Linked DNA regions of Neurospora crassa OR74A. The protein of the gene in region 1 interacts with the protein of each later gene in a biochemical or structural test. Links are inferred from orthologs where the notes say so. Each region holds a gene or a part of one and is shown in the gene's direction. Other genes may lie near its edges.

Region 1 (3,749 bases):
CTCAAGCTGACCAGGCCTTTGTCGGTCTCTTCTGACACATCGCGGTGCATCATCATGGTATCGCCGGGGGTGTAGAAATTGACAATGGCCGCTTGGGCCTGAGTCTCGGGAAACAGGGTCTCCAAAAGGCCGGCAATGTCTTTGGGAAACTCGGGGGGCAGCTCGCCCGGGTAAACGCGATTCGTCCAGTCATACTGTCCACCTAGGGTGACCCAGTGTAGCTTGCGGTTGAAGACTTGTTGAAAAGTGAGAGGCTTGTGTACAGAAGGGTCCTTTGGCTCAAAACACGTCTCGGAATCTGGAGGGTAGGAGAAGAAGGATTCCTGAAGGCCTGTTTCGGGATCCACGGGCGGGTAGGGGAGCTTGAAATGGAGATGCATGTTGGTCTGGTGATGGGGTTGGTTGAGATCGCGGTGAATGATGTTGCGCAGTAGCGTCTTTTGGACCTCGGGGGGAATGAGGTTTGGGAGAATCAAGAGACCTTTTGGGGTTGGTCAGCAATGATTCGTGAGGAAGAGGGGTCCAGGATCTTGAGTTCACCAGGCAAGAGAGGATGGTAATAGATGGGGGCGTCCTTGTCTGTGCGGAACTCTGGTGAGTCTTCGGGGCAGATATAGCTGAAGGACCTGTTCAAAGTCTCGGTAGGAATGGAGCCAGCGAGCACAAACTCGGGGGCTTTTTCGGGACTGCGCAAGTCATCGATCTCGGGGCTGTTCATGACGATTTTCTGGTCGACTTTGGCGAACGACTTCCACTTGAGCCGCAGCTCATCCGACGGCTGCTCGTGCGCATCCAGGTCATGGTGTCCACCCATCATCTTGAAAGTCGGGTAGTTCTTTTGAGCGAGATATCCAAAAAGAGAACAGAAAAGTGACCGAAGAAATGGATATGAGTATACAAGTTGACTCCTTCCGAGTCCTCGTGTGACGTTGCGGATTTGGAGTAGGGAAGTATCGTGAGATGAAATTGTGGGGACTCGAGTGAAGCTTCAGACGGGACGGATGGTCGAGATGGATTGATGTGTGGGCGTCGAGCTGAGGCTGGGCTGGGCGTCTGAATGGCTGGAGCTTCTGAATGGCGCCACAAGTCAGGGGTAGTCAACAGTTAGAGATCGTGGCTACCTAGAAGGTACCTACGTATTCTGCCCCATCTTGGTGGGCTGTCGGGTACAGTCAATGCTCCAAGTAGTAGTACTTACTAGAACTAGGTAGAGGTGGTACATATGTACCTAGATTGCTTGAAAGTTTACCTACCTACCTTGAACTCGGAGTACCTACCGACGAGGAAAGCGGGCATTTTTTGGACGCGTTCATTCCTCCCTTGCAGTCCGTCCCTCCAGTGAGTGGTTTCCATGGTGCCGTCGCGGTCCGCGCTTTTTGTGTTGACACGGATTTCCGTTGCAAGCGCCAAGTCTAAGACGTAATCGTCCCGTCTCCAACCACCTGCACTCGGATGCCCGTCTGGAATAAAACCTACCTACTGCACTACAGTACAGCGGACCACCCCCCTGGACTGCCCTCTAAATCCGACACTCGAACGACAACCACAACTTCACAACCTCAACTTCCACTTGCACGTCCACCGCCTCTCCTTCCTTGGATTTCTGTCCCTTCACCATCACGGTCCCTTAGTATCAAGAAGTTGCAGGAACAACGGACGACAATTACATCGCTCGCTGCATCATATTGCCTTTTCATCAGCGGCCTTTCGCATTCAGCCCTCCGCCCAGGACGACCCGTCGACCATTCACGGCACCATCATCACCACCAAAAGTCAACACCAAAACAAAGTATTTACGGTAGCTAGTACTGTAGCCTTTTGACGGCAACGACGGACGATTCCACCTTTTTTCGTTTTTGTTTACCAATCCGCCACTGCGCTCCCTTTGGACACCACCTATCCTTGGCTGGACCTTGACTCTCCAAGGATCAATCAATCTCAAGAAGGCGACCCTTCGACGGCCGTCACTTTCTCCATCCGCCGCCGCCGCCGCCGCCGCCCCACGCTTCGTTCTGGGCTTTTCCATCAATCACTGTGCTTCAGCGCGCTAGGTACAACATCGTTCGTCGTAATCGTCCCCCACCACGACGACCACGAACACCAGGCACCAACCCCAACTAGTAGTTCTACGACTCCGGGCAAAGTCAATTCTTTCCCTCCAGGGACTTTCAAACCACCCATCTCAGTATAGCGGCCTGGACGGGTAACAGAGCAACCATGGAGAACTATCAGAAGCTGGAAAAGATTGGCGAGGGTACAACACCCCCTTCTTCTTCGACCCCTCCACCTTGGCTCTCTTCCTTCCATGTCCCGTACTGACATTCCACCTTCCGCATAGGAACGTATGGTGTCGTCTACAAGGCCCGCGACTTGGCTAACAGCGGGCGCATTGTCGCCCTCAAGAAGATCCGCCTCGAAGCCGAAGATGAGGGCGTCCCCTCTACCGCCATCCGTGAGATCTCGCTGCTCAAGGAGATGCGCGACCCCAACATTGTGCGTCTCCTCAACATTGTCCACGCCGACGGCGGTCAAGGCCATAAGCTGTATCTTGTCTTCGAATTCCTCGATCTTGATCTGAAGAAGTACATGGAGGCCCTTCCTGTCAGCGACGGTGGTAGGGGCAAGGCCCTCCCCGAAGGAACGGGCGCCGGACTGCACAATTTGGGACTGGGCGAGGATATCATCAAGAAGTTCATGAGCCAGCTTTGCGAGGGCGTCCGATACTGCCACAGCCACCGTGTCCTACACCGCGATCTCAAGCCCCAGAACCTGCTCATCGACCGCGACGGCAACTTGAAGCTAGCAGATTTCGGTCTCGCCCGCGCCTTTGGTGTTCCACTCCGTACTTATACCCACGAGGTCGTCACATTGTGGTACCGTGCGCCCGAAATCCTGCTGGGTGGTCGTCAGTACTCGACCGGTGTCGATATGTGGTCCGTTGGTTGCATCTTTGCCGAAATGTGCACACGCAAGCCCTTGTTCCCTGGTGATTCGGAAATTGACGAGATCTTCAAGATCTTCCGGTACGTTTATGCAGTTACCTTTTCTTGGCACCTTTCTGCTTCTCCCCTAGTCCGCTATACTGACCTCTTTTCCTCCAAACAGTCTGCTTGGAACCCCTACTGAGGACATCTGGCCCGGCGTCACCTCCTATCCCGACTTCAAGGCATCTTTCCCCAAGTGGGTACGCGACTACAACGTACCACTTTGCCAAAACCTCGACGATGTCGGTCTTGAGCTACTTGAATCCATGCTTGTCTACGACCCTGCTGGCCGAATCTCTGCCAAGGCAGCGTGCAATCACCCTTACTTTGAAGACTACAACCCCAAGCCAAAGAGCAAATACCGCGACAGCAGCAGATACGCCTAGGGACGTTCGCCAAGGTCGAAGCAGGAGCGTTAGGCAATAGCAGATCGACTATCCAAGTTTTGCAGCCGGCTGCTTAGGTTCGGTTGGATCTCGGTGACTTCAAAGTGGGCAGTTCGTGGCAAGGGTACAGTCTTTGTGATTCTACCAGTAGCGAGTGAGGTCGACACACCGAAACGGTGACAGAAACAAACTGTCATTATCACACCTGAAGCATATCATAGCATCCCACTTTGCTTTCAGGATACTCGGAAACATGATATTCGACACATCAAATTCCCCATACCTACATTTTGTTGTATGTAGGGTTGTGTTTTTAGGGAACAGCGTTCAAAGGGGTCATGGGTAAAGGAAGTACATTGGAATGGAGTTCTGTATTACA
Region 2 (3,749 bases), about 2.2 Mb from region 1:
CGTAGTCGCCTGGTTTGGGACCCGTCTTTTGGATGATGGCCAGCGAGTCGGGCTCGGAGAATCCGGTGAGATACAGAAAGTTGGAGTCCTGTCGGAAGGGGAAGAAGACGGCGCCGGAGCGGTATTTGAGTTCCGAGGAGGCGAGAATGGCGATGCCGTTTTCGGGAAGTGCGAAGGCGAGCTTGGAACGTCGCTCGTGATATTCTTGGGCCGTGATGCCGGGGGTTAGTTCACCCGGTTGCAGGATGTGGGGGTGCGTTTCGTAGACGGGCTGGCCGAATTCGAGGTCGGCGGCTGAGACTGTTGTCGTCGTCGTCGTCGTCGTTGCGTATGTCCGGGATGGGCGCCATGGTGTTGATGGTGGTGAGCTTGGGTGAGATGCGGGGAGGATGGACTTGGCAGATTGGAGACGTGGTTGGAGAGGCCAGTTATTCTGAGCGCGCAAGTGTCGAGAACATTGCCGCAGGACGGCTTGGGGAAGCTTCATGTCAAATAAAGGGTGGTTGTCAAAGGGTGATGAGGGGAAGGAATGTGGTGGTTAGGTGAGAACGAGGTGTGAGTTCACCTCGGCTCGCCGGGTTGGTGGCGTAGGTGAACTTGGTTTGGGATGGCTCGCAATGTTGATGATACGTATTTTACTAGGACTACCGGCACCTAAAGTCTAGCTACAAACTGATCATGGGGTTGTCGGAATCTCAACCTTTACCAACCTCCAGATTCCCCAAGCAACAAGGTACGGCGAGAAATGAAGTTGAATTGCTTCGCGACGGACAAGAGGTCGGTTCATAGGTAGGTATGTTTCGTAAAGGTAAAGACATGGGATCTCGTCACTTTATCATTCTCACTTTTGCTCAAATGAATGCTGACAGTTGCCAGGCGCTTCACTGGACTGCCAAGAGTCCAGGTCTCGCTGCCCGGGCATCAAATGCTGCCTGCCAGCTGCAAGCCGCGGATGTGGAGCCGCTGTTGGCATTCCCCAGCACGACCTGACAGCAACAACAAACCACAGCTGCCAGGCGTGGGTGCATTTTCATTGTCAGCGCTTTTCAGTGTAGGGCAGCCAGTGCAAGCATCCCGGGCCGGGCGCCTGCACTCCCCCCCCCCCCCCCCCCACATTGCCTAGAGGTTTGGCCTGCTGGACCCTGCTGTCGCGACTGTCATTATCAAAACCAAACACTTTGATTACACAAAGGTTTTTTGACCACCCACCAACACCAGAACATTGGATCTTGGCCTGTTCGCACCGGGCGTCGACTGACTTCGGGCGCGATTCGACATTGGAAGGTTTGCGCAGATCATCCAATTGGCCTTAGCCGTTTCCTTAGTTTTGTTCAACAACGGTCCCTTCTTCCTTCCCGTCACCGGAGCTCAGCGCGTGCCACTGCGACGACGGAGCCAAAACCTCCAGCGACAAAAATCGAGAGACGCGTTTTTGGAAGAACAGACAACTGTGCCCCAACCTCCACCACCAACCGCCTCACTTTAGTTGTTTTGCGCCCAGGCCAGGGTCGAGTGCTTCCTTGCTCCTTCCCAGCCAACGACCAACGATCGACGACGAATAATTGTCCGACCGCATTGGGCCATTGTTCGACCATCGACACCATCGATCACCGAGCCTAAACCACTTTGTCTTGTCTGTCGAGTCGGCACTCAGCACACGACTTGATTCTTGGTGTACCATAGTTATCCGGGGTCCCCCTACCCAAACTCCAAGCTAGTACCAGCACGCGACCAGACAGACAGCCCGGAAACTGTCTCCCTCCCTTACCATCCCCGAGCCGGCGTTTCGGAACAAACAGAAACAACACCACACCCATAGCATGTTGACTGGATATTTTACAAGACAACAGTATCGCTAGATCGACATCCCACAGCAATGTCGTCAACCACCACCACTGCCGCGGGCACCAAGAGGGCTCCTCTCTCCGACAACCCCAATGCCGCCAACTCGCCGCTGCGTGGGTCCTCGGCTACCGCCTTGGCACTACAGGGCTCTAAAAAGGCCGCCGTCCGCTCCCATGCCGATCAGCTTAGAGAGGAGCCATACGGTCAACCACCGCCGGCCAAGAGACAGATGATTGAACATGGCGGTCAACGCGCCGCCGCCTCGCCGACGAGCTCCCGGTCCAATGTGTCCAATATCACGCGCAAGGCCTCGACCATATCCCGGCCCATTGATCGGGAACGGCCTGAAAGGGCTTCTTCTAGATCAGGCACCACCGTGGCTACCAGCACCACCACCCGTGCCGAGAGGTTGTATGCCGCCTCCACCACCACCACCACCACCTCCACCACCACGACGACCGACCGCATCACCGCAAAGGAACTTGAAGACCTTAGTATATGGCAAACCTCTATGAGATCTCGCTTTCACAAGATGGTCTTCTACTTTGAGAGCATTCCCGACGAGCAACGTCACAAGCTCGCCAAACAAGTCGCTCAATTGGGCGCTGTAAGTCAACGACCCCTTGCCCAATGCAGGCCCAACCGCTCGGCTTATACTTACACTTCGGTCACAGCGCGAGGAAAAGTTCTTTTCCATCGAAATCACCCATGTCGTCACCACCCGTCCTATCCCCCCTGTAAAGCCAGTCCAGGACGAGAACCAGCCCGTTACCAACACGCAATCGACAAGTGAACAGCCAAAGACAATCGATCCCTCTCTCCTGAACCGCAATGGCGACTCGGTCCGACGCAAACTCATTTTCGACAAGCCCTCACTCCGGAAATCCTCTGTGCAGCCCCAGGAAGAGACGATGCCGAAGCCGAAAGCACGCAGCACCGACATCCTGCACCGTGCGCGGGACATGGGCAAGAAGATCTGGTCGCTTGACAAACTCCAGAGGATTCTCGGCATGGTCCTTGAAACGGACTTGTACAAGGCGGCATTGTTGGGCCGAGGCCACACACCAGCAGCCGCGGATAGGGCCAAGGCTCGCCAGCAGACTGCGAATGTACTCCAAATGCTCCAGAATGAGCGTGTTCACGGCCCCTCCGATCGCGATCCCACCGTTGTTACCAAGGACATCCACTACTTCAAGGGCCCCTACATTTATGTGTACGACATTGAGGAGAAGACGAGGCCGATCATGGTGAGGGAGTACCACAGAGTTGCCGACAAGAAGGACGGCGAATGGCCTCAGTTCCGTGTGGCATCCCAGGGCCGTTGCCCATTTGTTGAGGATTATGATCCCCCTGAAAGGACGAGGCGGGAAAAGACTCAGACCAAGGAGAAAGTTGTCAAAGCTGCAGATGCCGCCGCCGCTACCGAGAAGGCTACCAAGACCCTCCAGCCCCCCGAGGTACCATCACCCAAGCCGGTTACGGGAAAGCGTACTCTTAAGGAGATGGAAGCACCCAACGACCGTGCAACCGAAGTTGTTGATGATGCCCCCGAAACCGTCGAGTCAGCCAAGGAGCCCACCCCTTCGGTCGATTTCCGTTCGCAGAATGCCTTTATGAGCCATACCACCAAAGTTGGCCGTTTGGTAGCCGGAGAGCCCGTCGCTTCTGGCATCCAGGCCAACAAGCTCACATCCGCCATTCGCTCTCAGATGGTGTCGTCCACCACCGGTGTCCTTGGCGCCAAGGCCGGTATCAGCAAGGAAGTTTTGGGTCTTCAGCGCAAGGTTCTTCAGAAAGCTGGTGGTCCTTCTCTTTCGCAAGACTCTGGTGTTCGTCGCTTGGCCGAGATTGGTGTGGATGCCGCCCAGTGCACTCGTGCCGCCAGCTTGGGTAATCCGGCCAAA
Region 3 (3,749 bases), on another chromosome or scaffold:
ACACGCTGTCTTCTTTCCCTGGAGAAGCACAAAATGCAGTTACTCAAAGGGGCTCACTGGCTCAGGAGCGGTATAACCACGGGATACAAGGAAGGGCGCAACAGTCCTCTCAACTCTCGACCACTATCATATCCCAGTCAGCAAAAGACTTTGGCTTATCACGCAGCTTGGTTGCAGGGTTTCACTTACGATGCTCTTCTGCTGGTGGGGAACAACTCCATCCTTGATCCAAATACCATAGCTGCCCATCATGTTGGCAAGCATCATGTCAGTGGCCAGTCGGTCTCCCACGACGGCGATCTGGTGAGGACTGGTGACACCGGTTTCCGGGTGGGCACGGAAGTAGGACATGATCTCGTCTCCACAGCCTGGCTTTTTCACACCATGGGGGAGAACAGTGATGCCGGTGGCCTTTTCAACTGCGGATGCCATCTGGCCGTCCTTGTCCCAGCTTAGGGCACCAGCAGTGTTGGAAACGATCAGAAGACGGCGTCCTGGGTATGCTGCTCGTAGAGCCTCCATGCGTTCCTTGGCTTAATCAGTCAAAGCGTTCCTGAATGGAATTGGGACGAGAGACAACCCACCTTGTAAGCCTCATACACTTCATTGTGATCAGGATAGGCAAAGCAGTCATCTTTGTCGAGCACGACAGCCTTTATGTCAACCTTCTTCTCGCCATTGCCGGAGAAGGCTTTGTTAAGAGGGATGGGCAGGTCGTTGAACGTTGGAACTGTAGCGTGGGGCAGACATAGTGAAGGCTTGGCGATAAGCTTGAAAATGTTCAATGAGGCAGACAAATTGAGATTGAGCTTTGACATATTGGTCGCGATAGTCCTCTTGGAGTTTGTTTGGTTGAGATGACATGAGGTTGCAAGAAAGCCTATGAACTCTCCCACCTATAACCCTCCCGCGAAGTACCTAGAGGTAGCGTATGTGGTGGTAGACAGGGGCTTGGCTTGCCCCCGTTAGTAGGCAGCGAACCCTGCTACCCGCAGGTACTCTCTAGCAGGTACCTGCTGTCTTCCCATCTAGAGGTAGGTAGCGTCATCCCGGGCGTATGTACAGCTTAACGCGTCTCAATTAAGCGAGCGCGTCTTGACTTTACAAAAGTTTCCCGTAGACTTCGAATTGCAGAGGTAGGGTAAAGGTACAGCGGGACTCCAAGGCATGCCATACAACTTGGACAACATAAACCAAAGCCAATAACACAAACGGTATGCCTCCTCGTCGGAAATCAACAGATCAGCACGATCTAGTCGAACGCCCCTCTCGAAAGCGGCCACTCCCTGCCGACCCCTACGAAGTTCCAGATGAGGATGATGCGGTTCCCTCCGCAAAGCGTCAACGGCGACAACCAGAAGATGGAGGAACACCTTCAAAGCGAAACGCCACCCCGCGGAAACAGGTCGATTTCCTCCAGCGCGACCTAGCCTCTGTGCCAGAAGAACCCGAGTCACCTACCGAGCAGACACCCAGCAAGAAAAGGATAGGGCGACCACCGAAGGCCAAGACGGGAGGAACACCAAGTGGCAAGCCGAGCACACCATCCGCCCTGCGCAAGAAACAAGTCGACGAGACACCGATCAAGCTCAAAGGAATCAGTGGCGTCGACACACCCGGCAGGCGAGGAATTGCCGACCGATCGGCTAGACGGAAGAGTGCCAGGGCTCTCATCGACCGTGTGCTGGAGGGCGCCGTAAGCGATGACGAGGACGAAGAGCAACAAATCGCACGAGAGATCTACGAGTCAAGCGAGGAAGAAGAGGAAGGGGACACCCAACAAGAAAACCTCGCCGACCAAGAGGCCGAGTTAGCAGCAACCACTCCATCCAAGACAGGGAGGGGGAGAGGACGAGGAGGCAGACCCCCCGGTTTAGCACGACGAAAGAAATCGCCCACACCACCCCGAGACCTCCCTCCCCATGAACAATACTTTTACCAGAACAAGCCGGGATCCAACAAAACCTCGAACAACACGCTCTCCTCGCTCGACCTCCTCATCCACGAAGAATACTTCTCGCTTCTCCGCAACCTGGGTCAGGACCCCCACGAAAAACATATCGATGCCCTCCAGTCGCAACACGCCGCCTCCTTCCCCCAATGGGCCTTTGAGCTCTCCCAAGGCTTCAGCGTCTGCCTCTACGGCTACGGCTCCAAGCGTCGACTTTTGCACCAATTCGCCGAGTACCTCTTCTCCTCCTCCGGCGGTAATGACACAAACAACACAACAATCATCATGATCAACGGGCACACCCGCACCCTCACCTTCCGCGAGATCCTCACCACCATCTCGGCCGCCATCGACCCCACCTTCCGCCTACCCTCCGGAAACCCGCTCGCCATGATCCAAAACCTCTTCACCCTCCTCTCCTCTTTTGCTCAAAAGCCAAGAATCACCCTCCTCCTAGCCTCCCTCGACTCCCCCTTCTCCCCCCTCCGCAAACCCCAAACGCAATCCCTCCTCGCCCATCTCTCCTCACACCCAGCCATCTCTCTCGCTTGCACAGTCGACACGCCCGACTTCCCTCTGCTCTGGGACTCTAGCTTACGCTCCTCGTTCAACTTTGCATTTCACGACTGCACCACTTTTGCAGACCACAGCAAAGAGTTGGACGTAGTAGACGAAGTACACGAGTTACTGGGTAGGATGGGCAAGAGAGCGGGTGGCAAGGAAGGAGTGGCGTTTGTGTTGCGGAGTTTACCCGAGAACGCGAGGAAATTGTTTGGGCTGATTGTGGGGGAGGTTTTGGTGGCTTTTGAGGACGGTGGTGGTGGTGGTGGTGGTACATCAGGGGCAGGAGACTTTGCAGCGGGAGGAGAAGGGCCGGGGGTAGAGTATAGGATGCTTTACAACAAGGCTGTGGAGGAGTTTATTTGCAGTTCGGAAATGGCGTTTAGGACGCTGCTAAAGGAGTATGTTCTTCCCTCTGTTGTGACTTGGCTGTGGAGATGATTTTCTTGGTTTTAAAGGGACAACGGCTAACAGAACGGAAACAGATTCCACGATCATCAAATCATTACGAGTCACAAGGACTCGATAGGGACGGAATACTTGAGCTTACCTTTTAGGAAAGAGGAGCTGGAGTCTATCCTGGAGGAGTTGATGTCGTAGTGATGATTGACGACGATGTATCATGACAATGCTAAGTTTTGAATCGAGATGAATGGGACACACACAGATTTGACCTGGAAGTTATCATACACACGGCAACACCCACCACATGTGTTGGAATGGAAGCCTACACATCATATCATAGTCTTAACATATCCAAAATCCTGGAAAGCTCACCGCAGAACATCAATAGCTCAAGTCTTACGATAATTACAAAGTCGAAAATGTATACTTGCCACTTCGATGTTTTGCTTGTCATGCCATGCTCTCATGATAGGTACTCGATTACCGAAAGGACCTAGTCCACTACTTTGTTTGGCCACACACACACACACACACACACACACACATCGAATCACGAGTCATCGAGCACAAAAGACATCAAGAGTATAACGAAGTTGAAATGTTTTTGATTGGATTCCTCAGTTCAGACAATTCCGTCTCGCGCGCCACGGATGCCAAGGAGACAAAAACAAGCAGCCGCCATGTCCGGGGAACTTTTCCCAAATGCCCGAGCTTCGATCTTGGTTCAACCGTATAAACCAAGCCCAAATCCCAAACTATGTCCAGGGAAAAAACAAACATTGTGCAAAAGAACACCTCCCCTTCCCAGGCCTCTGCCCGTTTAACACTCTCC

The links.
Region 2: of the proteins of cdc28 (region 1) and NCU05972, one has a biochemical effect on the other in vitro, tested with the Saccharomyces cerevisiae proteins (2 studies listed by BioGRID). The link is inferred for Neurospora crassa OR74A from reciprocal best matches to the Saccharomyces cerevisiae genes CDC28 and DBF4.
Region 3: of the proteins of cdc28 (region 1) and NCU01370, one has a biochemical effect on the other in vitro, tested with the Saccharomyces cerevisiae proteins (5 studies listed by BioGRID). The link is inferred for Neurospora crassa OR74A from reciprocal best matches to the Saccharomyces cerevisiae genes CDC28 and ORC2.

What each region holds. Positions count from the first base shown.
Region 1 is NC_026506.1:1,089,292-1,093,040, reverse strand, and holds the start of cdc28 (cell division control protein 2), read left to right. Parts: upstream 1-1,500; 5' UTR 1,501-2,217; coding exon 2,218-2,254; intron 2,255-2,338; coding exon 2,339-3,023; intron 3,024-3,105; coding exon 3,106-3,370; 3' UTR 3,371-3,749. Other genes in the region: NCU09779 (oxidoreductase), read right to left, coding at 1-481, 541-817. UniProt on the Saccharomyces cerevisiae protein: Cyclin-dependent kinase that acts as a master regulator of the mitotic and meiotic cell cycles. Required to drive the G1-S transition. More than 200 substrates have been identified. Substrate specificity is in part regulated by the bound cyclin protein.
Region 2 is NC_026506.1:3,251,153-3,254,901, reverse strand, and holds the start of NCU05972 (sporulation-specific protein 6), read left to right. Parts: upstream 1-1,176; 5' UTR 1,177-1,876; coding exon 1,877-2,452; intron 2,453-2,519; coding exon 2,520-3,749. Other genes in the region: NCU05971 (xaa-Pro dipeptidase), read right to left, coding at 1-487. UniProt on the Saccharomyces cerevisiae protein: Regulatory subunit of the CDC7-DBF4 kinase, also called DBF4-dependent kinase (DDK), which is involved in cell cycle regulation of premitotic and premeiotic chromosome replication and in chromosome segregation.
Region 3 is NC_026505.1:3,801,365-3,805,113, reverse strand, and holds NCU01370 (hypothetical protein), read left to right. Parts: upstream 1-1,089; 5' UTR 1,090-1,216; coding exon 1,217-2,913; intron 2,914-2,997; coding exon 2,998-3,112; 3' UTR 3,113-3,335; downstream 3,336-3,749. Other genes in the region: NCU01371 (UPF0660 protein, variant), read right to left, coding at 40-123, 190-528, 585-818. UniProt on the Saccharomyces cerevisiae protein: Component of the origin recognition complex (ORC) that binds origins of replication. It has a role in both chromosomal replication and mating type transcriptional silencing. Binds to the ARS consensus sequence (ACS) of origins of replication.